3 linked regions of the Canis lupus familiaris genome follow. The protein of the gene in region 3 purifies or fractionates together with the protein of the main gene of each other region. This does not show direct contact. Links are inferred from orthologs where the notes say so. Each region holds a gene or a part of one and is shown on either strand. Other genes may lie near its edges.

Region 1 (10,006 bases), on a different chromosome or scaffold from region 3:
GCAGATAACGAAGAGACAGAGGGCAGCGACGTGCCTGCGGATTATCTGCTGGGTGACGTGGAGGGCGAAGAGGACGAGCTGTACCTGTTGGAGCCAGAACATGCACATGGTGAGTGGGCGCTGGGGAAGTGGGGTTGGGAGGTGGGGCGGGAGGCTCAGACCCTGCCTTCCCTGACCCTGCCTTCAGCGGAGGAGCCCGAGTACGTGCTGCCGCAGGAGGCCTTCCCGCTACGCCATGAGATTGTGGACACTCCGCCGGGGCCCGAGCACCTGCAGGACAAGGCTGACTCGCCCCACGTCAGCGGCAGTGAGGCTGATGCAGCCTCCATGGTGCCCGTGGACTCCTCCTTCTCGCTCATCTCCGTCTCGCACGCGCTCTACGACAGCCGCCTGCCGCCCGACTTCTTCAGCGCCCTGGTGTGTGACATGCTGCGCTTCTATGCAGAGCAGGGTGACGTGCAGATGGCCGTGTCCGTGCTCATCGTGCTGGGCGAACGAGTGCGCAAGGACATCGACGAGCAGACCCAGGTGGGTGAGTGGGTCTGGGGAGGGCGTCCCTGCCACCCCAGGGCCGCCGGCGCACTGACCTCCGGCCTCCTTCCCTCCCGCCGCCCCAGGAGCACTGGTACACGTCCTACATCGACTTGCTGCAGCGCTTCTGCCTCTGGAACGTGTCCAACCAGGTGGTGAAGCTCAGCACCAGCCGCGCCATCAGCTGCCTCAACCAGGCGTCCACCACCCTGCATGTCAACTGCAGCCACTGCAAGCGGCCCATGAGCAGCCGCGGCTGGGTCTGTGACCGCTGCCACCGCTGCGCCAGTATGTGCGCCGTGTGCCACCACGTGGTCAAGGGGCTGTTCGTGTGGTGCCAGGGCTGCAGTCACGGCGGCCACCTGCAGCACATCATGAAGTGGCTGGAGGGCAGCTCGCACTGCCCGGCGGGCTGCGGCCACCTGTGCGAGTACTCCTGACCGCCGCGGGCGGGAGGCGCTGGGCGTGGGGACCGAATAAAGGAAGCAGGAGCCGCAGTGTGAGGCCGCCCGTCACACGCGTCACCCGCGCGTGCGCTCGTGCCGCCAGCTCGATGCTGGGCGGCTCCGCTGGGTGGGCGGTGTCGTCGCCATGGGAACCCGCGGCGGCCGCTCCGCCTTCCGGGGCGGGCCAAAGGAGCTGCTTCCGGGGCGGGCCGGGCGCTGTTGCCACGACAACGAAGCTCCCGGCAGGCTTTGCGGCGGCGGGCTCATGGCGCCGGGGGCGCGGCCACTGCTGCTGTTGGCGGTCTGGACGCTGGCGGCGCCGGTGCTGCGCGGCGCCGGGGACACGGGCGACGGAGGGTGGTGAGCGGCGCGGGCGGGCGGCCGGGACCCGCGGGCGGCCGGCCGGGTTGGGGGGGCGGCGGGGCGCTGACGGCCGTGCCCGTAGGCAGAGGCGCGGGCCCGGGGCCCCGGCCGCCGTGGCGGAGGAAGAGCGCTGCGCCGTGGAGCGCCGGGCGGACCTCAGCTACGCCGAGTTCGTGCAGCAGTACGTGCAGCCCCCACACCCGCCTCCCGCCCCGGCCCCTCCGCCCGGCCCCCGCGCCCCTCCCCCGAGCCGGTGCGACCCGCTGCGGCCCCGCCCCTCCAGGTACGCCTTCTCCAGGCCCGTCATCCTGCAGCGGCTCACGGACAACTCGGTGAGTGCAGCGCCCCGCCCGGCCTCTCCACCCGCGCCGGCCCGCCCTTGAATCTTCTCCCCACCCCACCCCACCCCAGCGCTTCCGGGCCCTGTGCTCCCGAGAACGGCTGCTGGCCTCGTTCGGGGACAGCGTGGTCCGGCTGAGCACCGCCAATACCTATTCCTACCGGAAAGGTGAGCTGCCGCGCGCCGCCGCCCCACCTGCTTGCCGGCACTTGCAGGCGGTCTCGGCCAGTCCTGACCAGGCCCTTTCCTACAGTGGACCTGCCCTTCCAGGACTACGTGGAGCACCTACTGCACCCCCAAGACCCTAGCTCCCTGGGCAACGGTGAGTAACACCTGGTTGGCCGTGGGCTGGGCTGGGGGCATGTGGACAAGCACAGGTGCTGAGACCCGGGCGCCTCCTATATTCTGTGTTGGCAGACACCTTGTACTTCTTCGGGGACAACGATTTCAGCGAATGGGCCTCACTCTTCCAGCACTACTCCCCGCCTCCGTTTAGTCTGCTAGGTACCACTGCTGCCTACAGCTTTGGAATCGCAGGTGGGTACCCTGCACGTGGCATGCCGGAGGAAGGGGATGCGCCAGGTGGGGTTGCGTCAGCAAGTGCTCCTAACTGACCCCACAGGAGCTGGTTCTGGGGTGCCCTTCCACTGGCACGGGCCCGGGTTCTCAGAGGTGATCTACGGCCGCAAGGTCAGCACGGGCCGGGGCTGCGGCTTGGGGCTTACTGCCTGCCAACATGGAGTGACGGGCTGATCTCACCCTCAGCGCTGGTTCCTGTATCCCCCTGAGAAGACACCTGAGTTCCACCCCAACAAAACCACACTGGCCTGGCTTCAGGACGTGTACCCAACCCTGGCACCATCTGAGAGGCCCCTGGAGTGCACCGTGCAGGCTGGTGAGGTCAGTAGGTGGCAGGAAGGGGTCAGGCTGGATCACACGCCACCAGCTAATCCTTGTGCCCCACCCTCCACCAGGTGCTGTATTTCCCTGACCGGTGGTGGCATGCTACGCTCAACCTGGACACCAGTGTTTTTATCTCTACTTTCCTCGGCTAGGTAGAGTGGGCGGCTGGTGAGCCCAGCACACACCAGCACACACCCCTATAGTGCTCACAGGTTTTATTACAGGACAGTGGTGGCAGCAGCCCACCCTCACCTGCTGTTTCTGGCCCAGAAGGGGGTGGAGGTGGGGCTCATGGTCCAGCAGCAGAACTGATGAGGGTGGGATAAGGGACACCAGGGCAGGGATCTAGGGACACAAACTATGTACAGGAACTGGGAGCTACTGCCCCAAAGCCCACCTGGGCCAGGGTACTAGGCAAGGCAGGCAGCTCTGGCACTCGCCTGGCCTCAGTAGTCCTCCACCCAGCCGTTCTCGGAGATGAATGCATCAATGACCTCTTTCATGGCCAGGTTGGGGATGAGCTGTTCCTGGGTCAGGGGGCTCCGGGTGACAGGGTCAAAGTGGCCCACACGCTGCAGTGTGCAGTGACAGCAGGTCAGAAAGTGCTCAGTGGTTACGGGCCCTGCTCCCCACTCTTGTTGGCTCTCACCTGCAGGTGTTCCTCAATGTCCTTGCGGTCGTAGGTGATGCCACTAGGCGTGATGCACGGCTCCCGCATAAGCTCGAAGCTGATCTTGCCACACAGGTAGTCCGGGATGTCTCGCTTCTGTGGCACATGGAGTCAGGTCAGGCACCAGGATGGGGACCCGGCTCCGATTCCTGCTACCCAGAGGACAGACAGCTTACCTTTCTCTTCTCGTCCACCTGGGAGAAAAGCTCATCCATGTCTGCTAAGTACTTGTCCTGCGGAGAACCAAGCAGCTACGCGTGGGCCAAATGCCCCTTCCCCCTCCCCCGGGCACCCTCCAGTCACAGGCACGCAAACACGCACACATCCACACGTGGGCTGGGGCACCCTCACGTGCTTGGCCTCGATGCAGGCCTGCTGGGCCCGGACGTGGCCATCATCCTCATCACCCTCGTGGTTCCGCTGGCATTCTTCTAGCTCCCTGGGGGTCGACCAGGAGCTAGTCAGGAATGGGTCTGGCCAGAAGAGATCACACTCCACCCCAACCTCAGGCTTGTTCAGGTCTCTCTTCCCTCCAACTGCTCGCCAGTGCTGGCCTTCAATAAACACTTGTGTTCTTGACTCAGTTAACCCCAGAGTGCTGCCTTGGGGGTGGGTGGGGCCCTGGAGCCTGCCGCTACCACAGCCCACCTCTCCCGCTCGGCCACAATAAGCCGAGTGAGGTAGGAGTGCAGCTCATTCTCCTGGTGGATGCGCCGCTCCTCGATGCTGTTCCAACGCTTCTTCTTGGCGATGCGCAGAGCACTAGGGATATCATCCCCGAAGTTGAGCCGCTGCTCCTTGGCAAGGTTGTAGGCTGGGGGAACAGGGGCTTCAGGTCACCTTCTGGCCAGTCCATCCACCTGGTCCCAGGCGCCCCCGCCGTCCCCTGACAACCTGTAGGCCCACCTCGCTGCAGGTTGGCGATGGCCTCATCATAGCTCTCCATCTCTAGCTGGCACTGCCCCAGGAAGAAGTGTGCCTTCACAGACTGCCCGTCCAGTTCCAGAGCCCGCCGGCAGTCAGCCAGGGCCTGCTCATGCTGCTGCATCTTCAGATAGCACAACGCCCGGTTGGTGTAGTACACGGCCACCAGAGGATTCCGGGTCTGGGGACCAAGGCCAGGCCAGCCAGCATGAGGGAAAAAGCTCCGTGGGCCCTGTCCTAGGCCCTGTCCTGGTCTGGGAGCCCGTAGCTAAAATCCAGACACTAGAAATTTCTCAGCTTGGAAGCCTCTGCTCAGCTAGGGCTGTAGAGTGAACTCCCGGTCCTCAGGCCTGCGCTAGCCCACCCTCTCGGGGCTCCCAGGAGGTTTTGTAAAGGTGAGGTTCCCGGACCTGAGGAGAGCCCCAGCTTCGGGCCTGGGCTTCTCAAGGGACAGGAACCCTGGTCCCGGCCTGGGGCCTCGAGCACCCCTCAAGCTCCCACCCGCCCCTCCAGCAACCAGCACTGGCTCGAGAACCGCGCGGCCTTGGCTCGACTGGAACATGATCAGCACCGAGTTCTCGGGGCCCAAACGCCCCCGCGGGCGAACCAAGACCGCCCCGAGGGTCCGGCGGGAGCGGCGGGGCAGGGGCTCCGGGGAGGACGCGGGGCCGCGAGCCGGGCCCCGCCCACTCCCCCGCCCGGACGCCGGCCCCCTCCCCCGGCGCGGGCGCACTCACGATGGCGCGGCCGTAGCAGGCCGCCGCCTCCGGGTACTTGCGGCCCACGAAGAGCCGGTTGCCCTGCTCCTTGAGCTCCTGCGCGCTCGGGCTCTTTTCGGGGCTTCCGCCGCCGGCGCCCAGCCGCGCGCCGCCCTCCTTCTCCTCCTTGCCCTTCATAGCGCCGCGCGGCACAGCCCGGGCTTCGCTCCCAGGCTCCGCGTCTGGCCCGCCCTGCGCCCGCAGCCCGAGCCCGCAGCCCGAGCCCGCGATCCGCTCGGGCCCGGTCCAGCGATCCGCCACCGGAACTTCCGGCCGCGCGGGGCGGGGCCAGCGGCACGGGCGGGGGCGCGCCTGCGTCCGACGGGCCGCGGAGGCAAGGGGGGGCGGGACCGACTGGGCGCATGCGCTCGAGGGAACGCGACCCGCGACGTCGGACGTCCGGGACAGCGACAAGCGCGGCCCCGCCCCGCCGAGGCCCCGCCCCGCCTAGGCCCCGCCCCGCCGAGGCCCCGCCCCGCGCGGACTAGGCGGCCGCCGGCTGGCTGCGCGGCCGTGGGGCCTTGAGGGCCGCGGGGCTGCGGTCCTGGCGCCGCACGGGGAGGTGCCGCGGCCGCCAGGGACGGCTGGAAGCTCTGGAGCGGTGGCAGGACGGCCGAACCCCGCTGCCCGAGGCTCCGTCGCCGCCCTCCCCAGGCCCCAGAGGGCTCCCCGCGGCCACCGGGGGCGGAGCGGAGGAGCACGTGGCCGCCGGCGTGGAAGCGGGGGGCGGGGCTCCGGGTGAGGTTCCCCCACCCACCCCGCCCAGCCCACCTCGGCCCGGCCGGTGAGTGTCGTCGCCTGCCGGGGGGCCCGTGGCCGTGACCCCGGGGGTGCGCGGGAGCCGCCTGCCCAGACGCTGGCGAGGCTCGAGCCCCGGCTGCAGGAGCTCCGAGGCCGCCGCGCGCCCGCCGCCCGCGGCCCTGGGGAGGCGGGGTGCATGCGGCAGGCAGAGCCGGCCCGAGCGCCGCATGGCCTGGGCCCGGGCCCCCGCCCCCCTCTGTCCCCGCCCGGGCGGGACCTCAGGCCCGGGACCCCTCCCCGCGTGGGACCCGCCCCAGCCTGGCCACCCGCAAGGACACCGCGCCGGCCCAGAAGCGCAGAGAAGCCAGGCTGGCTGAACCCTGCTGGGCCCGGGCCACAGGGTTCTCGGAGGGCGGGCGACCGGCTGGGCTGCAGTCTCCGCTGCCTGTGAGGACCCCAGCTCCTCGCACACCCGCCACACGCGCACGCCTGGTTTGGGTGCAGGGAGCACCGGGAGAGCTTGGGCTGCCGTGCGAGGGCCGGGCGGGCCCCTGGGGCCAGCCCCCAGAGCCCACTGCAGCCACCTCCTGCTGTGTAAAATATTTATTCATTCTCCAAAAAGGCTCAGACCGCAAGTTGTGGGGGAGAGGCAGGGGCAGGGTCTCCCTAGGGCCACACTTGGGGACCTCCACTGCCTGGCCAGGCAGTCCTATGTCCCCAGGCCTGGGAGGGGGTGGCCAGGGCTGATGTAAGGCTTGGCCTGGACTCAGTGGGCTGCGAGGGCCACCTGCCCCTACGGAGGAGAAGCAGTCTCAAGGTGTACATTCACAGAGGGCAGATGTGCAGGCTCGCCTGGCAGCCAGCCCACACACACCAGTGCCCTGACCCATGGGGCCCTGGGGAGCCCATCAGGGTGGTGGAGGGATGTGGGCGCCTAGCAGGTCGTAGGCGAAGACGTTCCAGAAGATGGCAAAGAGCAGGAAGGTGCCATATGCGAGCAGCACCACCCACCAGCCACACTGGTCCCGCAGGCGTTCCTCATAGCTGCGCAGGATTGTCAGGCCCATGCTGACTCCTACCACTGCACCTGCCAGGTGTGCCATGAAGCTGGGCTGGGGGCCGGAGGCAGGCAGTGGCGGGGAAAAACGGAGCCACACGGCCCGGCCCACTTCAGAACTCACTGCAGAGAAAGGTGGCAGGTGGGCAGGTGGGAGGCACTCTGGCCTGAGGCTGAGGCCCCTCTCAGCCCCCTGACCCCGTACTTACTGCACACCAAGGCCAGCACCATCCTCAGCAGCTTGTAGGGACACCTCATCCCAGCCCAGTTCTGATGGGGCGCGAGACACAGGCTGTGAGGCAGGCCTTATGGGCCCCTCCCCACACCCGCCCCGCTGTCTGCCCTATTACCATGACGACGTTGGCCAGGTGTGCGGAGCACAGGGCGTAGACCCCACCAGAGCCCCCCACCACAGGGGCCCGCATGTCGGTAATGGAGACAGTCAGGGAGCCTGTGTGAGCAAAAGGAGAGCCGTGAGCAGGAGGCTCGCCGGTGCAGTGGCCGGGGGGCGTGTGCCTGCCTTACCTGCCAGCACCCCGGCCAGGTAGAGCAGGCTGATGCGGAGCAGGCCGTGCACCATCTCCAGGGGCACCCCGATCATCAGCTGCAGGAGCGCGTTGAAGCCCAGCTGCTCCAGGCTGGCCATGTGGGTGTAAACAGATGTGAGGTTGGTGGCGGCGGACCACCAGCCCTACCCGACGGGGACACCAGAGGCGGGCCCCCGCTCACCCAACGTGCATGAACATGTAGGTGAGGAAGCGCCAGGCTCGAGCGCGGTGGCCGGGGTGGTACACCAGGGGGCTCTTCATGTACTCGGGGTGGTAGGTCTGCAGCACCCACTTGTTGAGACGAGCCCCATAGCACAGGAACACGATGATCTGGGGGAGAGGGGCGTTAGGGCTGGGCTGGGCCGGGCGCGGGGAGGCTCCGGGGTGGCGGGCGGGTAGGCACACCTGGGCAAGGGTGACTGAGGCCATGAACACGGGGGGCGGGCAGCTGCGGTGCCGGTAGAAGTACCAGTGGCGGTCCACTTCTCGGGGCAGGATCTCGTAGGCAACGTAGCGCACGAACCGCTTGTAGACACCCAGGCCCGGCTGGTCCAGCAGCCCGGCCCGGGGCAGCGCCCTCTGTCCGTTGGCGATGGCCCGCTTAAAGCTGCTCGAGCGTTTACTGCTGATCTGGGGGGGCGCTAAGCATGGGCCACCGTGCTCCCTGCGCCCCGAGCCACCCTGCCCCCTTGCTACCCCCCCCTGCTCCTGGTGGAGGCTGAGTCCCCGCCCCCGTCCACACCCCTCCCAGGTGGGAAGGGCAGGCGTGGGGGCTGCCTGCCCACCCGCTCGGCCGGGCCCCTACCCTGCCGTCCACCCACTGTGGCACTGACCAGGTCCACCAGCTCCTGGTAGCAGACCTGGCCCCGCTCGTTACTCTGGGCCAAGGCCACCAGCATGTCCAGCTTGGCCGGGTCCAGGGGCAGCTCATGGCTGTGCACCAGGCCGGTGAAGGTGTCCGCACCGATGAAACCTGTGTGCTCAGGGTCCAGCTGCTGGGGTCGGGGGGCGGCCATCGGCCAAGGCTTGAGGTGGGGCGGCCTCGGGGCCGGGCCAGCAGAGGGGCGGGCTCCCAGCTCCCTGGGCCAGGCCTCCGTACCCGCGGGTCCCGGGCTCCCGCTCCACCGCTCCTCGGCCTCCCCACCTCCTTCCCGCCCTGCGCATCCTCCGGGCGGGCAGGCTCCCTCCCTCCTCTGCGTCCCCAGCCGCGGCCGCCCTCTCCCGGAGCGTCAGGCAGGGGAGCAGGGGCCCCAGGTCTCCCGGTGGTGCCCCCCGCCCCCCACGCACCTGCTCCTGGATAAGCTGCAGCAGCGAGCTCCTGTCCATAGAGCCAGGCTGGGCCGGGCCGGGCCGGGGTCGGCGGCGGCCGGAAGGGGCTGCTCTGCGGACGACGCCGCTCCGCCCCGGCCCGCCCGCTCCGCCGGCGCGCGTCACGGAGCCACAGCCGCCCGCCCCCGCGCGCTCGCCGCCGCCGCCGCCCCCCCCCACGCGCGGCCGGGACACGCGCGCGCTCTGCCTGCGGACGCGCCCCGGGAGGGAACAGCTCAGTCCTCGCCTACCGTTTGGGGCTGAGGCTGCTCGGTCGCGCGGCTGGGGAAACTGAGTCACGGGGCAGCCCCCCCCCCCCCATCCCTCCCCGCCCCTCACCCTGGGGCTTCAAAGCCGCCTCCCTGGGGTGACCTGGCCACCGCGCCGCCTGCGACCCTGCTCTGCCCAGCATTCCCTGAAGGTGCCAGCTTGCCCGTGGGGCTCGCGTGTCTGGCCGTGGCAGGAAAGCCCCACGGTCCCACCACGGGGACAAGGCCAGCCAACAGGGCCGATCACAGGGGGCGGGGAGTCCCTTGGTGCAGCTGACCCTGCTCAGTCCACAGCACCCCACACCCAGGCTGCAGACCCCCACTCCCAAGCCAGTGCTGCACGGTGGGACTTGCAGCCGTGGATGCCCCCGTGTGGGTGCAGACCCTAAGGCCCAGGCCACGGCTGGGATGTGCCATCCTAGCGGTCCCTCCAAATCCTGATGCCATGGGCAACCCTCCCGCGACTGAGCGGGCGGTCTCCCCAAAGCAGGTGAGAACCGCACCTGTGCGGCAAGGGCCAGCAGGGCTGGTAGGGACAGTGGGGGAGACGCCAGAGTCCCCCAGGCCCTCTGCCTTGGCCCAGCATCCCCAGCCTCCTGCCAAGAGCATGTTGGGGCCTGGGAGAGACCTGGGGGACACCGGCTGATCCATGGCAGGGAGGGGGCACCCCGCCACACGGCAGGCTGTCTGCTCCAGCCTCCGGGACACCCACCAAGTAGACACCCGGGCGCCAAGTGAAGGGACGCGGGGACAGGAAGGGCTGCGGCTCTGGTCAGGCTGTGAGGGAGAGCCAGGGCATGTTTCTCAGGCCGTGGCCAACCCTGCACAGCAGCAGCAGCCCCACACAAGTCCCAGATGCTCGAGTCCCAGACTCCCCCTCCTCCCCACCTCAGGCCGGCTACTGGGATGCTGAGGTCTGGGGTGGGACGGGGGGGTGGTGGGGGGGGGTGGGGGGTGCAGAGGCGGGGCAGCCATCGGGAGGGTCTCCATCAGAGCCCCTCAGGCCAGCATGAGGCCTGATGGGTACAGAGGCTTCCAGACGGCTGCTGGCCCACGAGGGACATCTCAGAAGGGGACTCAGGCCTACAGGACACACATGGGGCTCAGGAGCGGGCGTCTCAGCCCGTGTCAGTGGACTCAAGAAAAGT
Region 2 (10,006 bases), on a different chromosome or scaffold from region 3:
CCACGGCCGCGGGGTCCTGGAGGTCACTGCACCCGGCCTCGGCCACCAGGAGGGCCAGCGAGGGGACACGTGGGGAATAAGGGGGGAAGCCCAGGGAGGGCAGCCGGTGCCAACCCCTCCGCCCCCGCGCTGGGCCGCACCGGGAAGAACCACTCGGCAGAAGCCCAGAGGCAGTGGGTTTATTCTGGGCTCCAGGGGACCCCCACCTCATTCCCACCCGCCACCGGACAGGGGCGGATCTCGGGCCAGCGAGGCCCCGTGGGCCCTGGCTCCCGGCAGGCAGGCAGTCTGTGTCAGAGGTGGAGGCCGGGGGGAGCCGGGGTGCGCAGGGAGGCCAGGGGGCTCTACTTGCTGCCCGCCATGATCTTGAGGTACTGCAGGGCGCGCCGAGCAGCCTCCCCACGGGCCGCCTCCCGGGTCGTCGCGGAGCCGTGACACACGGTGGCCGGCTGCGTGGACAGCTCCACCAGGCACTGGCACAGCCCGCTCAGGCTCAACTCCTCTGGGGGCGGAGAGAGGACGGAGGCGCGTGGGCCGGAGGGCAGTGCGGGCGGGGCGCCACCCGGTCGCCAGGCCTCCCCAGGACCGAGGCCCACGCAGGCCCACTCGGGCCAGGCCCCGCCAGCCCCCGCCTCCCCGGCCCTACCGATATCCAGGTAGCTGACGTGGAAGGCCTGCTCCTCGGACAGCTCGCTGAGGACACTGCAGCAGGCAGGGCCCAGGGCACCCAAGGCGCCCAGGGAGCAGCTGCGCAGGGACAGGATCTTCTCTCCCACGGAATTTCGCAGAGAATCCCAGGTGCAGCCCGGGCCCCGGTTCCGAAGTCCATCGAGGCGGGAGCCCACACCCTGACGAGGCGGGCAGGTGAGAAAGGTGCGGCCTCGGGCTGAGACCCGGCGTGGAACAGACGCCCGACGCCCCGGAGAGAAAGCCCGCGGGTGAACGCCTGGCCAGCCTGCCTCCCCCTCGCCGCCCGCTAACCGGTGGCCGGGGCCCCGCAGCCTTCCTCACTCTCGGCCCAGCGCGCCCAGCAGCCCCGAGCCGGGGGCCAAGCAGGAGCACGGGCAGGGGCCCCCGCGGCGGCTCATCCGCGTGCCGGGCCCAGGCCCCCAGCGGCCGCCCGGCCCCACAGGCCACTCACGATGGAGAAGTGATCGTCATCGGGCTCTGCCTCGGTGCCATCCCGGGCATCCAGGGGCACCGTGTGCACCCGAAGCAGCATCTTGGCCGCCGCGTTCCGCTTCGCCAGCTTTTTGGAAGTGCCGCTGCCTGCGTGGGGGAGAGGCTGCTGCACTCGGCTTCCCGGGCTCTCCACCCAGCTCAGGGCCTTGGGCGGGGCCCCCTCGCGGGACGTGCACTGGAAAGAGCCCTCAGGCGCTGCCACGGCCCGGGCCCTGGGCAGCAGGAAGGGGGGTAGGGGCTAGGAGCTGCCCGCGCTCCCGTCTGCCCAGTTACCGATCTCAATGAAACGCTCCACGCGACAGGTCATGGTAAACTCTTTGCGGTGCGCCGGCCCGGACTCCTGGGTCACCGTGTACTCAGGCAACCGCCAGCCCTTCTGCACCACCAGCTCCTTGGGAGGGAGGAACGGGGGCGCACGAGGCTGAGTGAGGACAGACCCCCGGGCCCCCTCCCTCCCTCCCGCCCTAGGGGAATCAAGGGGGTGGGAAAAGCCCTCCGAACGGGTAAGAGCCCCACACAACTGCCCTGGTGGCCCCGGGTTCAAGGACAGACAGGCATGCACACGACGGAGGCCGGGGGCACACCTGCAGGGCGCCAACAGGATTGCACTCAGACTGCTGAGGGGAGACGGGGGGCTGCGCCTCCATGGGGGGGCTCCTGAAGGAGGAAGGGCCGGGCCGAAGTCCATGGGGCTGTCCCTTCTGCGGTGCCCAGAGTCCCACGCCCTGTGCCGGTGTCCCCGCTCCCATCTCCCTGGTCCCCGCCAGGCGGGCAGCTGTCCATGCAAACACCCAGCCTGCTTCCTCCCTTCCCCACCCAGGTGAGGTCTCCTCCAGGGCCCAGGCCCATTTGGACTTTCTGGAACACCGGACCGTCGCCTTGCCAGGACAGTGGGAGGGGGGCTGTATATCCAGTCCCTGGAAGCACCTGATGGGAGGCACACACAGGACCATCACGTGGCCAACTCAGGAGAAAATGGGGCCTGCAGGCCCCCTGACCATGGCCAAATGTCCTCTCTGTGGCTATTTAAGAATCGTGGATTACCTCCTGTCCCAAGAGCTTACCAACTGAGGCAAAGTCTTCAAATTCTGGTCCCCAACTATTCCATCCTCTGCTTACTCTCAGACTTCCTCCTGCCTGACCAGCCTGGGTCCAAAGGCTGGGGGGCCAGGAGCCGGGACCCCTACCTCCCCCCTTCAGGCAGGCAGGAACACAAGATACCTGGTTGGAACAGCAGATGGAACAGGAGTAGCAGCCGCTGCAGCAGTAAAAACTGGAATGTCCTCAGGCAGTGAAGAGTCTAGGGGAGAAAAAGAACTTCCCGAGGGGAAGGGGGCCTTTGATTCACACCCATGTGGGCAGGGGTGGGGTGGGGAGTAGAGGGTGGGGACCCAGGTCCTCCTGACCTGCCCGTCCCCTAAGAAAACCCCTTCCCACTGGAGCCAAAGACTCAGGGAAGCTTAACCACCACCTTCTGGGATCCTTTGCTGCCAAACACTGGATCAAAGCGACTGAGACAAGGGGAAAGACGGTCTCTTCCTACACAAGAGCCACGGAGGCAACAAACCCCAATGTAAGTGTGCAAGAGGGGAGGACAACCTGCTAGAGAGAGGAGGCGTGTTGGGGTGCGACCCCTCTAGCCTCAGCCTCCGCCCCTTTCCCTCCCTAGCCTGGGCCCACACCACAGCCACAGCCCCTTGACATCCCCCCACAGGATCCTTCACAACAGCGGGAGCCCTGGAAGCATCCCGCCCTGTCCGGCCAGGTCAAGGTGGGCAGAGGAGGTAGCGCAGGGGCCTGGGTTCCTGGCCGGGTCTCTACGAGGCCTCGGCTGGTCCTCCCTCACCTGCTGTCCTCCAGGGCCGGCTCCAGCATGCTCCCCCCTTTGAGGTGTTTGAGGGCCACCTCAGCTGCCTTGTGCTTGGCTGCCTTCTTGCTGGGGCCCTGACCTGAGAGAGGGGCGTGGGCGATACTGGAGGTCACTAGGAGGACAGAAAAGCCGGCACCCACAGCTTCTCTCCTCAGGGCTGGAGGGAGTCAACCAAGCCCCTCTCACCACCTGCCCCTGCCCAAGACCGGAAGTGCTGCGCTAATTACTAGAAGGGAGGGCTTCTGCTCCCCAGAGCTCCCCAAATCAAGCCACGCCAGGCACGACTGCTCTGGAGCTCAGACACCCTGGGCAGAGACGCTTTCCCGGCTCTCCTTGCCTCTGGGAAGTGCTTTCTTTTCTCTCAATACATAGAGATGTCTGGGAAAGTAGAAAGAGGGCAGGCTCCGGAGTCAAGGCCCCGCTCCGCCACTTCTCAGGCCCGGGACCTTGCACCACTCACATCCACCCCGAGCCTTGGCTCCCTCATATTCAGCTCGGAGGTGCTATCCCCCACATCCCTGGATTAGACTGCGATTTAAGACGAACTAGGAATTTGGTCAAGCACCTGGAACAGAGCCCAGTGCAGCAGGCACTCACTCCTTCGAAACTTCGCTGAGAGTTTGGTTCATCCCGTCTTTCTCCTCTAGGATGACGACAATGTGCCAGACCCCTCTGGCGGTCCTGCTTGCTCCTCTAACTCTCCGGAGTCCTACCCGCCTCCTCAAAGACCCGTTCCCCCAAACGAGTCCGTGGCTTTTCCCCCTGAAATCTCTCCTTCCCTCACTGGCCTTGGAGCAAAGGACTGGGGAGAGACTCCAGGACACAAAGCCACCAGGGCCCTGCGGATGCACACCCCAGCCAGGCTGCCCAAGCCTTCCTCACCAGTGCAGCTGGTGTCGCCAACGGTGACCCGGAAGGTGAAATTAGGCTGGTGGGCTTGGCCCTCGGCTTTGAGAAGGTCGTACACGGGCGTCTTCCCTATTCTGGTCCCATACTCCTGCAGAAGGCTGATCGGGGTCTTGCCCGGGTTGGCTGCCAGCATTTGCTCTATACTGGGGGAGGCGGGGGCAGGGGGTCACGGACCCTTATCACACCTCCAACTCTGCGCCCACCCGGCCAAGCACTGTCGTATCAGACCCAGGCACACTATGGGGGGACACGGGTCCAGGGGACCCCGGGCAGTACAGCACACATTGGCTGGGTTCAGTGTGGAGTAGAAGCGGGCTGGAAGCCGGGTCCACGGCCCCCAGAGCACGCGGGCAACGCACTGTTCCTGTCTCAGTTAAGCAGGAGGAGGATCCTGCACCCCAGTGCAGTTAGGAGGTGCATGTCCCCACACAGTGCAGCCCAGGGACCCGGTACCCACCAAACGCACTGAATGTCGGGAGCACAAAGCCCAGTGCCCCAAGTGCAGTCTGGGAACCGGGCCAACCCCAAACTATTTAGAGCAGGAGGCCGTGGCCACTGCCGGGGTGCATGCCGGGAACCACGGCCCACTACCCCGGTGCTTGCCGGGAACAACCCTCGGGCCAGGTGCATGCTGGGGCCGCGCCGCTACCACCTCCGCGCCGCGCCACGCTTCTCGCCCGGCAGGGGTCGGCTCGAAGCGGCTCACCTGGGCAGCCCGCAGCCCGTGGTGGTGCCGGAGCCCTGCTCCTCTTCACTCATTCCCACCTCCGTGCCCGCGGGCCCCACCGTGACTGCAGCCTCCGCGCGCCCCAGAACACCGCCGACGAGCTAGGGCCGGGGCCGAGCCCCGAGTCGCGGCCGGTCGGGCCCGCCGCGGGGCATGCCGGGACATGGAGTCCCCCGCCCACCCGCCTCCCCGAGTCTCCATCGGGAGGGGAGCCGCCCGCCCCACAAGCCCCCGCGGGCGTCGCCCGGGGATGCGGCACCGCCTCCTGGGAGGAGCGGAGCCTTCCACGGTGGCCTCCCGAGCGGAGGGTGGCTTTGTGTCCGTGTGTCCGTGTGTCTGTGCGTGTGAATTTTTTTTTTTTTTTAAATAGCGTCCCGCCTCTTTTCCGCGTCTCCGCTCCCCGGAGTGGGCATGCGCGGGAGCAGAGCGGAAGCGGCTGGGGGCGGGGCGCTAAGGCCTAACCGGAGCGCCGGGTCCGCAGGCTCCCGAGGAAACTACAGAGACCGGCAGCTCGCGCGCCATCTTTGTCGCCGCGCAGGGGCAGGCGCAGGCGTGCGCGGAGAGCTCCGCGATAGGATTGGTCGTGTCCGATTGCGCTGGCTCGCTCTAGGCACGTTGCGATTGGTTACTGAGCCTCGAGGGGCGGGGCCAGGAGCGAGGCAGCCCCTCGGCCCCGCCCCTTTGTTGAGGAAAGGCTGCGATTGGTCCAGGGAAGAGGGGCTGTCGCACCCTGGCTCGGCGCGGGCTGGGGGTGGCCTCACCTGGCCGCGGGAGGAGAGCGCTCGAGCCCCTCCGCGCTGGGGCCGGCCGGCCGGCGGCCCGCAGTTCCTCCTCGCTCCCGGCCCCGGGGCCTTCGTCTCACAGCCCCTGCTTCGTGTTCCCGGGTTGCCCTTCATTCCCTGCCCCTAGTTCTGGCCCGCAGCCTGTCTGGTTTCAGGTCTTCTCTAAAGCCTTGCTGGGCCGTCCCCAGGGAACCTCTCCGTAGGTGGCCCGGGACCCTCTCTGGGGCCTGAGAATCGGGCTGTAGGGGCGACAGCATTAGGACTCACGCACACCGTGGTCTCGTTCCCGCGGCTGTGGGTCTGGGGTCTCTCGGCCGAAGAGACAGCAGGAGAGGACTCCGGCCTCTGAACGCTAACCCGCTAACTGGGTGCAGAGCTGCAGCCCCTCCTCCCTAGGGTGTCCCGGCCACCGGGTTCAAAGATGTAGGAGAATCTCGTGACCTTGGCGAGACACCACGAAAATGCCTGGTTCTAACGAGCGTCCCGAGGCTGGGCCAGGTAGTGGAGAGCCGGGGGAGCCCCGGAACGGCGCTGAGGAGCTCGGGCACTAGGCTCGGCGGATTCCAATTGGGTAGAGCCGGAGTGGTGACGGCGACGGGCAGGGCGGCTGGCTGGCTCGGCAAGGCAGGGGGAGCCGCGCCAGAGCGCTGGGCGGCCGGGGTCCCCGCGCGGAGGGGCTCCGTCTCGGGGCGTAGCAGGCAGGGTGTCCGACCGGCCACAGGGGGCTCCTCGGGGACCAGCCAAGGCTCGAGGTGCGACGGCCACCCGACCCCGCCTGCGGGGAGGCGCGGGGCCCCGGAGGGCCGGGGCCGGGCCTGGAGCGCGCCGGATGGCAGCGGCGGGCTCCTTTAAGAGGCCGGCGGCTCCAGCGCAGCATCCCCCGCTCAGGGCGTGTCCGTCCCGGGGGGCCAGGGGCGGGGGCCTCGGAAGGAGCGGGAGTTCGAGCCGAGTGGGGACGGGGCTAGGGGTCGGGGGGTGGGGGGAGGACGCCGGGGCCGACAGCCGTGCCCCCGGACGCCGCGCGAGCCTCGCCGGTGACGGCGCCCCGGGTCCGGTCGAGGGCAGCGGGGGGAGGAGAGAAGGAGGAGGAGAAGGAGGAGGAGGCGGGAGCAGCATCCGGAGCCGAGCTGCAGCAGCGCCGCCTTTTGTGCTGCGGCCGCGGAGCCCCTGAGGTGAGAGCCTGGCCGAGGTGGGGGGCGGGGGGCAGGGAGGGGTCCGGGCCCCGGGGTCCGGGCGCGGAGGGAGGGTCGGGAGGCCGAGGTGGCGGGGTGGGGTGGGGTGGCGCGGGGATGCTGAGGCCGCGGGGCGGGGGAAGCGGGGACCTGGACCCGACGCCCGTGGGGATGGGAAGGGGGGGGACGGAGCGGAGGGACGCCGCGGCCCAGCCGGGAGCCCGAGGGCCTCCGGGGCTGGAAAGCACCGTACGGGGCGGGGGTGGGGGTGGGGGACGGCGGGGGCACCGACGTAAAGGACAGCGGGCAAGAGAACATCCTCCTCTCCTCCCACTCATCCTCCCGGAGGGGGAGAGGGAAGGAGGAGGAAGAGTTCGGGCCCCTCCGGGAAGGAAAGGGAGGACCGGGCCTGAGGTGCCCAGCGGCCCCCTCCCCTCCGCCCCCCTCCGCCCCCCTCCCCTCCCCTCCCCTCCCCTCCCGCGCTCTGCCCGCTGCACCTGAGGATTACAGGCTGCGAGCACCTGTTCCAGGATGCCCAGGTGAGGGCCTCCCCCTGCCCGCTGCTGCCCCCAGCCCCCTCCAGCTGTGCCGTTCACCTTCTCCATCCAGCTGTTGCTTCCTCCCCTCCCCCATTCATTTGTGGTTCTCTCCCTCTTTCTCTCCAGCTCCTCTGACTCCCCTAACCCAGTTCCCCAGCCCAGGCCTCTCAGGAACCTCCTGCCTCTGCCCCACACATTTCTCAAACTCCTTGGCTAGAAAATGAGCAAGAATCTGTTCCCCACAGTTGTGATCCCTGATCACTTTGGCCTCGGTGGAGGGGACGGAAGAGAAGGGGCCAGAGGCTCTACAGACCCGGGAAGGGGGTCGGTGGGGTGTCCCTTAGCATAGAAGAGTCCCACCTTCAGGGACTTGAGCTCCACACCTGCTCCCTCTGGGGAGGAGAGGGGGTGGCCCTCCACCTAGGAGTGCGCCTGAGGTCTCTCCCCCACCCAGAGTCCTCTCAGCCGCAGCCAGTGCCTCCTTCCGACTGGCAGGATGGACCCATGGCTCTGGGAGTCCTGGGAGCCCTGGCTGTGGGCTCAAGGGTAGCACCGGGGAAGGCGAGCACGAGGGCCCTGGAAGGAAGGGGCTCAAGGGCTCCCTGGCCTTCCTGTCCAGACAGCAGAGTTTCCCGGAGCGGCACGCAAGGCCTGCTCTCTGCCATCTCACGCTTCAGGGTGGCCAAAGGTGCTTGCCCTCCCGAGCCCGCCACGCCTCCACCCTCACAGCGGGGACTGAGGCCATGCTGGGGCCACCGAAGGCGGGATACCCCAACTCCATGAAAACACAAGTAAAGACCCGTCCCCGAATTAAACCCGGTTATGGGCAGAGGAGGCAAGAAGTTTAAGTGAGGACTGGCTTTGGACGTCCTGTGCATCCTCACAGCTAAGGGTGCAGGACGCCTCTCAGAAGCAACCGCCATTCCCCAGTCCTTCCCCTGGAGGTGATGATCTGGTCGTCTGGTTTTGCTAGGAAGACGACCCCGAATCCTAGTGCCCAGCACCCCAGACTCACCCCGTGGCTTCTCACACGCAGTCCTCCCTCTCCCCTGCGTGGCCTTCTAGGAGTCCCTTGTGGGGCAGGAGGCTACTACGGAGCCAGGCGAGCAGGTGACAGGTGGGCTTCATGAGGGGTTGGCCACAGAGACTGGTCCGTCGGCTTCATTTGCTCCCAGAGGGACCAGGGTCATCCTTGTTTCGGGAGAAGGTGATGAGGCAGGGACACGATGGCAGAGGAGCCTAAGGATCACCCAGGACAAAGAGCCCTTGGCCTTCGGTTCCCTCCTTTTGCTCTCCTTGCCCCGCCGTGTGCACCGCCCTTTGCACCTGTGCCCTCTGCTGCCGTCGAGGAAAAGGCGAGGAAGGGAAGGGAATCACATTTATAAAAGAAACGCCGCTGCCACTTGCTAGGCACTTTCAACATGGCTTGTGTTTCTGGGGACGGTCCTGTGTGCCCTGTCCTGGGCCAGGAACTTTACTGCGATTATGTCGCTCGCGTTTCAACCAGGCTAAGAGTCGGGGCGTGTTCTCGTCATCTCGGTCTTAGGGATGAGGAAACTGAAACCTAAAGAAGTAATCTGTTCAAAGTGAAAAAAGCACTTTTGGGGGAGAGTTTAGGTCTTGAACCCAGGCCCACCTGACCCAGAACCACCCCGTTATAGACTGTTGGGCCACCGTGTGACCGGGGTACCGCGGTTCCCATTCAGAGGAGAAAAAGGTTTGTTCAGGAGTCTCCTGGTCCCTAGCTCGCCTGCCTGGTCAGGAGCGCAGACGGGACCTCAGCCGAGCGTCTCTGATCCCCAGGCCACCCGCTCTCCCTCCATAGCACACGGTCCCAAGCTAGGTGACAGGAACAGACGGACACTGATATTTATTGCCTCATTTTCAATTTGAAATCGATTTTTTAATTTTAAAAGCAATTCAAAGTTATTACTGAAATATTAGACAAATATAGATAAGCCACAAAAAGAAAATAAAACACCCACAATTCCACCTACCTAGAAACTGTTACACTTCAGTATCTGTCCTTCCAGATCTTTTTATATTTTTATTTATTATTTTTTGTCTTCCAGATTTTTTTTAGTATATGTGCTGCCGAAGCGAGCACTTCCAGATTTTTTTGAAATGCCCATCCACCCCAGGAACTATTTGCTTAAATGTGCGGACCTTCCTCCGGGTCCCCCGCCCAGGGCCCGAGGCCGAGGCACCCGGTGGCCCTTCATACCTTGCTCCTACCCTCCTTTCCCTTCCCTTCCCTTCCCACCCTAAGGGGCAGGGGGGTGACCAGGGCACCAGGGGCTGGCCAGGGGCAGAGCGCGGGCCTTCGGGACAAGGCCCGAGGGCGTGGAGTGCCAGGGTTTGCCGTGGAAGGACTGGGGGCCTGGCAGCCAAGAGAGCAAGGACTGGGGACTCTGGCGCCCGACGGCCACTGTGACCTGGTTTCCCTGGAACCTGAAGTTGAGATTTGTCCCAGGGAAGTAGAAGGTCAGAGACCGAGGCTCCCTTTTTCAGGTCAGACAGAAGACATGGCCTCTCCAGAATCCAGGGACAGCCGGGGGGGGGGGGGGGGGCAGAGCCAGGAGCCAGGCCTGTGCTCGAGTCGTCTGTCCGCCTCCCCTTAGGCGTCCCCACCCGGCAAGGTAGGGCGGGAGGAGGCTCCCAGGCCTGGCCTTCGCCACCTTGGGCAGGACCGAGGTTCTGGCTCCCATGGCGCCAAATGCAAAGTTGGCTCTTGTCTCCTGTCTAGGACCCTCCCCAGCTGACTGGAAGAAGGGGGGGCGCAGCTAGGGGGTGCCAGGGCCTGATCTGTGAGGCGGGGGCCGGGC
Region 3 (9,906 bases):
GAACTTCCATTCTTCTTTGTTACACATGATGCCAGGTCTAAAACACTGTCCACCAGCCTTGCAGATAGATACCCCATGGGCCAGCAAAGAAGTCAAATTGTCCCCTTGGCTGCCCATCCTGAGTGCTAGCCTCATTTACTGAATTCTGGACCCCAAAAAAACAGAAACAAAAACAAAAACAAAACCCATCCAAGAACATTGTTGCTTAGCCAATGAGGAGGCCTTAGTGGGGCTATCTAGTAGGTGGGAACCAGGAGGTTTTTAGGGAGATTTCATGCTTTTAGGTACCTTCCTCATCATTATTCTAAACCTAAGTTCCCATCAACAATAGCCCCAGGCTTATCCCAAGGTTCAGCAATAGCACCTCAACCCCCAATGGGTCAGACTAGACTGGAAAAATGATCAATAAACAGTGCTCTTTCCCATCTTTTATCCAAATTCTCTCCCATTTTCTTCCGATCACTCTCTTCTTCCCCCATGTCCATCCCCTAACCCCCCAACACCGGAAACCAAGTAGCTCAACCCTAGGACATCCTCAGAAAAGGGAGGCCCCAGTAGAGACATGGAACCAGATCTAGAAAAAGCAATGAGAGAAACCAACCCCAAGGAGTGGACAGGTGTGGAAGTTGTCAGAAGCCCTCCTGATTTCATGCCAGGTAGGCAGGCTTGCTGATCTGCCTTTGTATAACATCGATGGCAGTCAAGCCCAGAGAGAACATCACCAGGCTTGGAGAACAGATTCTTGGTCTTCTGCAGCCAAGGAGTATTAAGCCTGACCTTGCTAGCTAACAGTGGGATTATCATAGCCATGCAGAGAATTCATCATCACGTAGGCAGGCAGGCCAGCAAACAAGCTTAGTGAATTGAAAAAAGGAAAAGGACAACAGGGAAAGAGATAAGTAGAAAAGAGAGGCAAGAGAGTAGAATGAAGGGAGCAAGAGACCTGTCCAAGAGGATGAGGCTGGGGTCCCCCCAACACTTTCTCAGAGCACAAGTAAGAAGCACCACTTAACCAAATCCAAGAAATCCAAAGCTTGTTGCTAACACCACTTCTCAAACTGCATGCACCATCTTTCAAACAAGAATAATCCTCAAGGTCAAGGATATTTTTCAAGTCTCAAAGATTAAAAAAAAAGAAATCAGAGCAAGAAGTCATTTTCTTGCCATTGCCCAAACTGCTTCTCTTGCTTTTTTATTTCATGAATGGCATGTGCAATGCCCAAGGGCTAAAAAATGCTTTTTAAGCCCCAGCTCAAAATCCAAATGGAGAGAGTGAGGCAAAGAGAGAAAAAGGAGAACATAAACTTGTTGCTGAGAGTAGGTGGTTACCACCAGCTCCCTATGGATATTTGCAAATGCTGGTGAATGACTGGACCCTCCAGGAACAGTGCCCTGATCCCAGCCCCTAAATGCACCCAAAGAAGAGAACATGCAGAGCCCATTGTCCCAAGAGAGCTCCCCTCCCCAAAGGGTGACTGAACACGAAGTAGACACTATATGAAGGCGATGGACAGGGCAGATGGAGTGTTGGCATCACTCTCTTTAGGCACTTGTGTAAGGAATGTAGGCTCTCCAGTGAGCTGCCTCCTCCCAGAGCCCTCCATTCTGTTCTTCAGCTGGGCTGTGCCCATGGGGCATCCCATGCCGTAGCCAGTAGGGAAGAAGTAGAGGAGGAGTTACTCAACAGTCCTGATGCCTTCTCCATAATCAATGTTTGTGCTACGTTTTGTGAAGTTGCTGAACAAAGTAGCCAACCAGAACAGAACCTGGGATAGACTGTTTTGCATAGCAAATCTGGGTCTGTACAAGGGCTGCTGGAGAGGGGAAATGGTAGCTCTAAGCACACAGGCCAGGATTCAGACTGGCCTCCAAGCCTGAGCTAGGTCTAAAGTGTCATGGCTTCATCACCAGATTGGGGCAAACCCAAGCCCAGGCTCCTCACAAAGAGGAACTTCCACACTGAAGCTGCAACTCCTCATCCCAAGCAGTGGGATAGGAAAAAAATGAACAGTTAAGGAAAGAGGGGGCCTTGCCTCAAGGCCAGCAGGCACCAAGCTAGAAACCCCCTACTTTTCCAGTTCTGCAAGATAGCCAAACCCCATCTTTATCCAGGGAGACAAAAACAAAACAAAACAAAACAAAACAAAGGCCCATGCCACCCACTCACATGCCCTAGTGGGAAACTGGGAAAAATTCATTTGTGTAAACAGAAGCGATAGGGAGCAGCAAAATCCCCCAGCCTGTCCACAGGACACACTGGAATCTGGGATGAGCCAAAGTGTCAGAGAACAGTCTAGAGAAAGGGAAGATGCACTTGCAGGAAGAGTACAGGGCAGTGCAGAGGAGGGCGCCTACAGCAAGAAAACGATATTATCTGCACAGGGGAAGGGTGGAGCCTGAGCCCCACCTTGGGGAGATAACCACTCTCCCTACCTAGCCAGGCCAAAGAATAAGTCAGGTACATAGTTCCTTCTGATGGCTCAATGTTTCTGGGATGTAAACTTATTGGGCATGGGAGGGATTTCCAGATTTTGGCAACAGACTCAAGTTATGGTATAAAAATAACATTTAGTTTTTGCTCTTTTTTTTTTTCTTATTTTAGACCTAAAGATCATTTGTTATAAGACACCCCAGTTAAGAAATATTGAAACATAATCGACTTGACCATCAGGGGAAAAAAGAAGCCAAGAATGAGAAATGCGATGTAAGTAACTCCAGACCCAGGCAGGTGGGAAGGCTGGGGGGGGGGGGGGGGGGACGACGACAGGGAGAAAAGGAGGCGTCAAGTGGAAAGGCCAAGGGCCAGTCATCTCAGCAGCTCCTAGACTTGTCATGTCTGAAAGTGCAAATGTCAATGGACTTTAACCATCTTGAGGTTGTGATCTTTTTAAAAGCTCAATGAATATGGAAGTTAATTCCTTTGAATGCAAAGTAGCTGGCGCTCTGGCTAGAGGCTTGTTGGGTTAGGGGTATTTCTTCCCCACCTACCTCCTCTCCCACCCCCACCCCATCCCCCCAAAGAAAGGTACAAAAGGTTGCAGTTCTGCAGCATTACCGTTACAGGGAAGGCACTGGTTACCCACCAGTAGGCGGAAGGAAGACAGGGTCGTGTCACTTCAGAGCTAAGTGCCATAGTGCCTTAAGTCTTACTAGGGGCTGGATGTCTGTCAGGGAGGAGGTGTAAGGTGGGGTAGACAAAGTAGAGAGAAAGGAATAAGGGAAAAAGGGGTGTCAGCTGGGGGAGGAGCAACCAAAATCATTAGCATTAAAAATCTTCCTACAAACTGGATTTTCAACCCATTAAAACATCTAGTATTCTAAAATATTGATCTGGGTCTGGTTTCGTTTTTCCTCTTAAACAAATCTAGACCTTTTCTGATTAAGGCTCCTAAAAAATCCTTCCCTCCTCCCACCCACTTTCTCAAGCCCCTCACTCTCCCATCTAAAGTATCAAACCCAAACCTACCAGCTTTTGTCCGCGGGGCTGCAGAGCCGACCTTAGCAAGCTGTCAGGCATGAGTCTTTAGCACTGTGAGTCACATGAGACACCTGTGTGTATGGTGGGCACCAGTGCTGCCCCTCTTGGTCCAGTGGGGTCAGGGCCAGATGTGACAAGATGGGTGGAGGGGTGGGGGTCATGAGGTGGACATCAAAGATTTCTGGCTGGTGGTCTGGCTTACTGGCCCTGTTCCCCACCCTTTTGCCCCCTTTGTAGAAGGAAACAAGGCCTTCTGAACTCCTCCCTACCCTCCCTCCTCCTCCTTGCTTCCTCTGGATTTGGGCGGCACAGCTCTTGGGGCTTGGAAAGCTTTCTTCTATCCAGTGAGGTAACAGCGTTCTGCCTTCAAGCGAAGTACATGGTGCGCAGAGTATCCTGGTGAACCTGCACGGCTTTGGCCAGGGCCTGGGGGTCCCGCCCATTGCTCTGCCCCGATATGTGGCTCCCCTCTCCACTGAAAAGCAAAAATGAAAGAAGTCCTTCCTGGTGCACTGAGCTGCTGCTAATCCATTCCCCCATTCAGAGTACCAATTCCCATACCAAGTTAAGAGAAAGCCCCAACCCAGATTTGGGCATATGAGCCCAAAGATACCATATTATATAATATTCATTTCCTTCTGCCCAAGGAAAGTTGAGAGGATCTAGTACCAGAGGCTGATGCTAAAGGAAAGCCACCTTGATCCTAGGCCTCACCTGTCATGTTCCTTGTCCACTAGGTGGTATCGTGCCCGGAAAGCCACCAGGCGGGCATAGTAGGCAGGTGCTGGGATAGAGACGGAGCGTGTGCATCGTACGTAAGTGTGGCACAGCTGGTACGTCAAGATCTGGAGCTCATCCGCTGTGAAACGGTTGTCATCCCAAAGGACATAGTAATGTGATGGTCGGCTGGTGCCCTGGGAAGATAGGAAGGTGAGGGGGCCCCAGGTTGGGCAGAAGGGATGGCCAATGCTAAGGAATAGGATCACTATTAAGAGTGTGGTGGGGGATCCCTGGGTGGCTCAGCAGTTCAGCACCTGCCTTCCGCCCAGGGCGTGATCCTGGAGTCCTGGGATGGAGTTCCACATAGGACTCCCTGCATGGAGCCTGCTTCTCTCTCTGCCTGTATCTCTGCCTCTGTGTGTGTATGTGTGTGTATGTGTGTGTGTGTGCATCTCATGAATAAATAAATAAAATCTTTAAAAAAAAAAAAAAGGAGTGTGATTGGGTTGGAAGACGCACACACAAAGCTACCTATGTCACAAAATACCCTTGTTACGGGCAATCCTGCTTAAGATGCTCAAAATGTACTTCTGTTCATATACGCTAAAAGCTTATTAAGAGAATAATCCTGTTCTGAATGCCCTCAGTGACACCTGATATATTTTAGAGACAATGGGAATAATCAATTCATTTTTGACCCATTGGAAACCCCTGGACATAGCCCGGCTACCTGGATGCCTGCATGGCTGCACAGATAGAAGTCGAACTCAAATGGGTGGGTGATGTTGGTGTCCACAGTTGTCCCAGCTGGGATGTTACCACTCTTCCCAATCTGTATAGAGACAAAGACAACCAAGATCCCAAGATCCCAAGGTCTGCCTGGCCCACCAGAATCTCAAAAGTAAAGCAGAAGTTGCTGTTCCTAGAGGATATTAGATATTAAAATAATGGGCTTCTACTGTCACACAGACCTGATTTTACCATTCATTAGCTGTGTGACTTTAGCAAGTCATTTAACTTTTTTGAGGTTAAACTGGAGGTAATAATACCTACCTCACAGGGCTGCTGTGAGGAAGACACCTCGTACAGTGTCTGACATATAACAGAACTTCAATAAATAGTACTTCTCTTTTCTTCTCTGGGAGCTGGTCTATAGAGGGGTCTACAGGTGAGGGAGCTAGGAGGAAGGAGCCGGACTATAAAGGCAGGAGGGGACAAAAGGAAAAAAGGGAAGGACAAGAGCTGGGGGAAGGGGCCAGAGACAACAGACAAACCAAGGATTAAATCCCCAAATTTATCTCAAGGGCTTTTTCCATATTAAGAGAAGGGACACAGGATAAGGGTATGAGTGGCTTCCTCAATCTCTTACTCACTCGTTCATTCTTGTCAGCACAAAAAAGGCGGGTATGATGGCGTTTCTGCACTACAATGTAAGTGATCCCAGGCTGGTAGTCCTTTTCCAGTTTGATGCAGGCATCACGAATGGCCAGCAGCTCATAGTGCAGGATCTAGGCACGAGTGAGAAGGGAGACAAAGAGACATATAGCTTCTCCTAAGTCACATCTGTGTGAACTACGAGGTTGCCATTTGTATATGGCTTTTTGCTCAGTCTCTTTATAAGCTGACACCCAACCATCACAGATGACAGAGCCTTCCTGTAAAATTTGTCTTATACTCAGTTGCCATGATATGTTGCTAAAAAACCTTGGTTGGGAGGCTGGCATCAGCAGAGAGCACTCACCTGGTTCATATATAAAAAGACACAGAACCAAAGTACACAGACATCACTAATATCACAATGCCCAAAGTAAGGTCAATTTCAGAATCAGGAGGATAATAGGAATTCCCCCTGAGCTCTAAGAGCAGACAGTGCTGAGATCACCAGAGAAGAGCAGACACATAGTTCAGGAATTGATACAGAAGGAGTAGATGAATTCAGTCCTACAAAGAAGCAGGATTATAAGAAAATGGGCTAAAGAAGAACCCACAAGTAAATAACCATAGGCAATAGTTGCCTTGTGGCCTTAGAAGTCAGATATAGGGAGTCAAAACTGTATGGTAGAAAATGGACGGAATGGAAATCAATTAGAACTAGGTTTAAACCCAAGCTTTATTCAGTTATATTCCTATTAGCAAGCTGCTTAACCTCCTAAGTCTCATTTTCTCCACATCTACTAAAGTTAGCCTCACAAAACTGTTGTGAAAAGTGTAACAGATTAATTAAGTAAAAGTATAAAAAACCTAGTAGGGGCTTAATAACTCCTGATTGCTTTGCTAAGCAGTTTGAATTTTATCCCAAGACTATGTGAAGCTACTAGACATTCCTGAACAGAAAAATGATAGTATAAATTTGTCTGCTGTTTTAGGGAAGACTGGATGACTTAGAGAAAACTGAGAAATGGATGAGAGCATAAACTCAAATCACACCAATTTGTCTGAATCCCAGTTCCACCATTGTTTAGCTTGGTTGACACTGAAGATATCATTTAACATTTCCAAGCCTCAAGTTTCATCATCTGTCAAATGGGATAATTATTATTTCATAGAGTTTTTCTAACCATTAAGTAGAACACATATGAAGTGCTTACCACAATTCATAGTACATAAGAGGTGCTCAATAAATAACAGCTGTATTAATATTAAGTGGTAGTCAAGGAAACCAGTTCATTATATACTCTGAACAACAGAATATGAAGACTTGGCAGGGACAAAGAATAGGAGGAACATTCTGAAGGAAGCTCAACAGCAGTAATTCTCAAAGTGTGACCTCCAACCAGCAGCATCACCTATGTAGGAACTTGTCAACTACAAATCCTAGGAGCACCTGGGTGGCTCATTCAGTTAAGTATCTGCTTTTGGTTCCGGTCATGATCCTGGGGCCCTGGGATCAAATCCCACATCAGGCTCCCTTCTCGGTGGGGAGCCTGCTTCTCCTTTTCCCTCTATCACTCCCCCTACTCGTGCTCTGTCTCTATCTCAAATAAATAAGATCTTAAAAAAAAAAAAAAAGGAACTATAAATTCTAGGGACCATCCTAGGCCTTACTGCCATTTAGCAAAGCTCTCAAAGTACCACCTCCCAATGCCAATAGCTTTAAAAAAGGGAGCAGTACTCTCTGCACCCATTAGGCCCTTTGGCCCCAATGTGAAGGTTTTCTTCACCTACTTTGGGCCCTACCTGGGGGAGCTGGCCTTCAGGAACCCCATCTCGGTAGAAGATGATGCGGGTAGGCTTGAAGCGGGTAGACTTGTAGAACTGGATGAGCAGCTCACGCACCATGTAGGATAAGTCTTCAATGATCTCCTGCCGGGGTCGCTGCACCCGCACAGTAGCACAGTAACGGCTGGGGTGGGCATCCATACTGCCTACCACCTAACAATCAAAGAGGCAGGATCAGCCTCCAGAACTTCCACCCTCCCAACACTGTTAGGATGTGGATTTGGGGAAGGCTTCTTAGCAAGAAAACTATGCAATCAAATTAGTAGGGTTTTGGATACAATGAGTCCTGGTTTCAATCTCTATCATGCATGCAGAAGTTATTTAATCCATCTGATCTTCTTTTTCCTCTCAAATAGATAAGAATGCCACCTGCTTACAGTGCTACTCCTTGCAGGGATGCCTGGGTGGCTCATGGGTGAGCATCTGCCTTTGGCTCAGGGCATGATCCCAGAGTTCTGGGATCGAATCCTGCATTGGGCTCCCTGCGGGGAGCCTGCTTCTCCCTCCACCTATGTCTCTGCCTCTCTCTGTGTCTCTCATGAAAAAATAAGTAAAATCTTCTATAAAATTAAATTAAAAAAAATAAAACACCTTGCATAAGACCTAGCCCACAGTAAGTACTTGGTAAGTTCGATTTTCTTACCCCTTGCAGGAGGGTAATGTGAAGGTCTGGCACTACCAACTCAAAGAGCTACAAGTTTGTCCTTTTCTCAATTTAAGTACTAATCTACCCAGTAATCACAATGAAGAGTGTTCCTGCAGGAGGTAGGAGTAATATCATTTTCAAAGGGGACGTGGCCAGAGCCTAGGATGGACGGCCACAAGGAAAACAAGGATAAGCATAGCATAGTATTTACCTGCATTTACTGTGATTAGCCCCGTTTGCCTAGAGAAATGTGAGGGTTGAGAAAAGAGAAGTGGGAAGAAAGGCCTGATCCCTAGCAATTCAGAAGCCCCTAGGGATGGGGAGCAGAGAAGCTAGAGAGGGATTGGAAAGACAACTAATCTATTAGATGGATCAGGGGTAGGGATGGGGAAGAGGAAAGAACAGTCAGTCCCAGCAACTAGGTAACCACGTTAAAAAGGATTTCAGAGAAGAGATATGGTCTTTCCTATATCCCAAAAGTGGGCATGGAGAGAGAGAGAGAAATTTGAACACAGAGCAAGAGTGATGGAGACTGGTCAAAGTCTCTGGCCACCGCCTACACTCTCACTGCTCTCTCTGAAAAACAGATACCATACAGAGTTAGTTTAATGAAGATACCAAGGGAGTGGTTAATGGGGATGATCAGCTGGAAAAAAAGTTTTTATGAAGGGTCAAGCATCAGAGCTGAGGCAAGGATATTATGTGCAGTCTTCGAAGCTCAGAGCTAAAATGAGAACCTTAAGAAGAAGCTGGAGAGTATCACTCACTGCTGTGATAGAAGGTTTTTTCCCATCCCCTGCTGGGGGGTGTGTAACATCTGCTCCCAGGAATATCACTGGCTGTTGAAAGACGGCAGAGCTAAACAAAGAAGAGAAAACAAATGGTGAGGAGTTGGATCTTCTCTTCCTGGCACCATCTAGTACCCATTTTGGTCATCTCTCCCTTGTGTCTGATTCACTCTGCCTGGCCAGAGTCCTATCGTTTTGACAATCCCCAACATGGTACCTTGCTTGACGGGGCAAGTGGGCAACAGAGATCATACCGCTGGTGTGGGACTAGGATGTTGTTAATGCCACCAAGTTTGACATTGATCTTCAGGCAGAGGTTGGATAGAGTCTGAGGCGAGGTCTTGACCACATTCTTCACTTGCACACACTGTGTAGCCATTCCCAAAAGTGTATCTCCAACACGTTTCACTTCAGCTATAAGCAGGGAGAGAAGTAATTAGTGCGTTCAACAAATATTTACTGAATGCCGATTAGATGTCAGGCAGGATATAAGAAGGTAAGAATACAGTGATAACCAGAAACATAGAGTCCCTAATCATAGTGGTTACTGTCTAGTGACTAATCTAAAAATCATGAGAAGTACAACAATGATAAATGCTACAATAAAAAACTTCATGAAGGTATGAGAGCATATATCAGGGGATAATAACCCAGCCAGGAAAGGACTAAATAATGATAAAAATGAAACCCAGTGGTGGAAAATCATTAGAAGAGGGGTGGAGTTGGGAGAGCATTCCAACCAGAGGGAACGGATGCAAAAATGCACTCTGATAGGAGTTCTGCTTGAGAAACTGAAAAGCTGGGTAGCCCGGGTGGCTCAGTGGTTTAGCGCCACCTTCAGCCCAAGGCGTGATCCTGGAGACTCGGGATCGAGACCCATGTCGGGCTCCCTCCTGCATGGAGCCTGCTTCTCCCTCTGCCTGTGTCTTTGCCTCTCTATCTCTCTCTGTCTCTCATGAATAAATAAAATCTTAAAAAAATTTTGAGAGAGAGAGAGAGAGAGAGAGATAGAGAAACTGAAAAGCCAAAGTAACTAAAAAGGAAAGTAAAGGACA

What was found.
Region 1: the proteins of AGO1 (region 3) and STUB1 purify together in Homo sapiens (affinity purification with mass spectrometry; 3 studies listed by BioGRID and IntAct, with this or other methods). This does not show direct contact. The link is inferred for Canis lupus familiaris from reciprocal best matches to the Homo sapiens genes AGO1 and STUB1.
Region 2: the proteins of AGO1 (region 3) and TARBP2 purify together in Homo sapiens (co-immunoprecipitation; 4 studies listed by BioGRID and IntAct, with this or other methods). This does not show direct contact. The link is inferred for Canis lupus familiaris from reciprocal best matches to the Homo sapiens genes AGO1 and TARBP2.

What each region holds. Positions count from the first base shown.
Region 1 is NC_049227.1:40,361,277-40,371,282, forward strand, and holds STUB1 (E3 ubiquitin-protein ligase CHIP), read right to left. Parts: upstream 5,187-10,006; 5' UTR 5,074-5,186; coding exon 4,915-5,073; intron 4,359-4,914; coding exon 4,160-4,358; intron 4,068-4,159; coding exon 3,902-4,067; intron 3,842-3,901; exon of another isoform or gene 3,693-3,841; coding exon 3,605-3,692; exon of another isoform or gene 3,487-3,604; coding exon 3,430-3,486; exon of another isoform or gene 3,350-3,429; coding exon 3,233-3,349; intron 3,156-3,232; coding exon 3,030-3,155; 3' UTR 2,782-3,029; downstream 1-2,781. Other genes in the region: GATOR complex protein WDR24, read left to right, coding at 5-109, 188-528, 618-971; JMJD8 (jmjC domain-containing protein 8), read left to right, coding at 1,243-1,337, 1,423-1,672, 1,752-1,848, 1,934-2,002, 2,098-2,217, 2,303-2,370, 2,446-2,580, 2,655-2,735; RHBDL1 (rhomboid-related protein 1), read right to left, coding at 6,585-6,856, 6,943-7,003, 7,084-7,184, 7,259-7,371, 7,463-7,611, 7,687-7,911, 8,115-8,276, 8,569-8,607. UniProt on the Homo sapiens protein: E3 ubiquitin-protein ligase which targets misfolded chaperone substrates towards proteasomal degradation.
Region 2 is NC_049248.1:44,926,978-44,936,983, reverse strand, and holds TARBP2 (RISC-loading complex subunit TARBP2), read right to left. Parts: upstream 5,006-10,006; 5' UTR 4,721-5,005; coding exon 4,668-4,720; intron 4,577-4,667; exon of another isoform or gene 4,419-4,576; intron 4,105-4,418; coding exon 3,935-4,104; intron 3,132-3,934; coding exon 3,029-3,131; intron 2,500-3,028; coding exon 2,404-2,499; intron 1,840-2,403; coding exon 1,767-1,839; intron 1,574-1,766; coding exon 1,456-1,573; intron 1,270-1,455; coding exon 1,142-1,269; intron 849-1,141; coding exon 647-848; intron 503-646; coding exon 345-502; 3' UTR 163-344; downstream 1-162. UniProt on the Homo sapiens protein: Required for formation of the RNA induced silencing complex (RISC). Component of the RISC loading complex (RLC), also known as the micro-RNA (miRNA) loading complex (miRLC), which is composed of DICER1, AGO2 and TARBP2.
Region 3 is NC_049236.1:6,332,683-6,342,588, forward strand, and holds part of AGO1 (protein argonaute-1), read right to left. Parts: intron 9,266-9,906; coding exon 9,106-9,265; intron 8,922-9,105; coding exon 8,831-8,921; intron 7,571-8,830; coding exon 7,376-7,570; intron 5,707-7,375; coding exon 5,572-5,706; intron 5,031-5,571; coding exon 4,929-5,030; intron 4,393-4,928; coding exon 4,193-4,392; intron 3,954-4,192; coding exon 3,845-3,953; 3' UTR 1-3,844.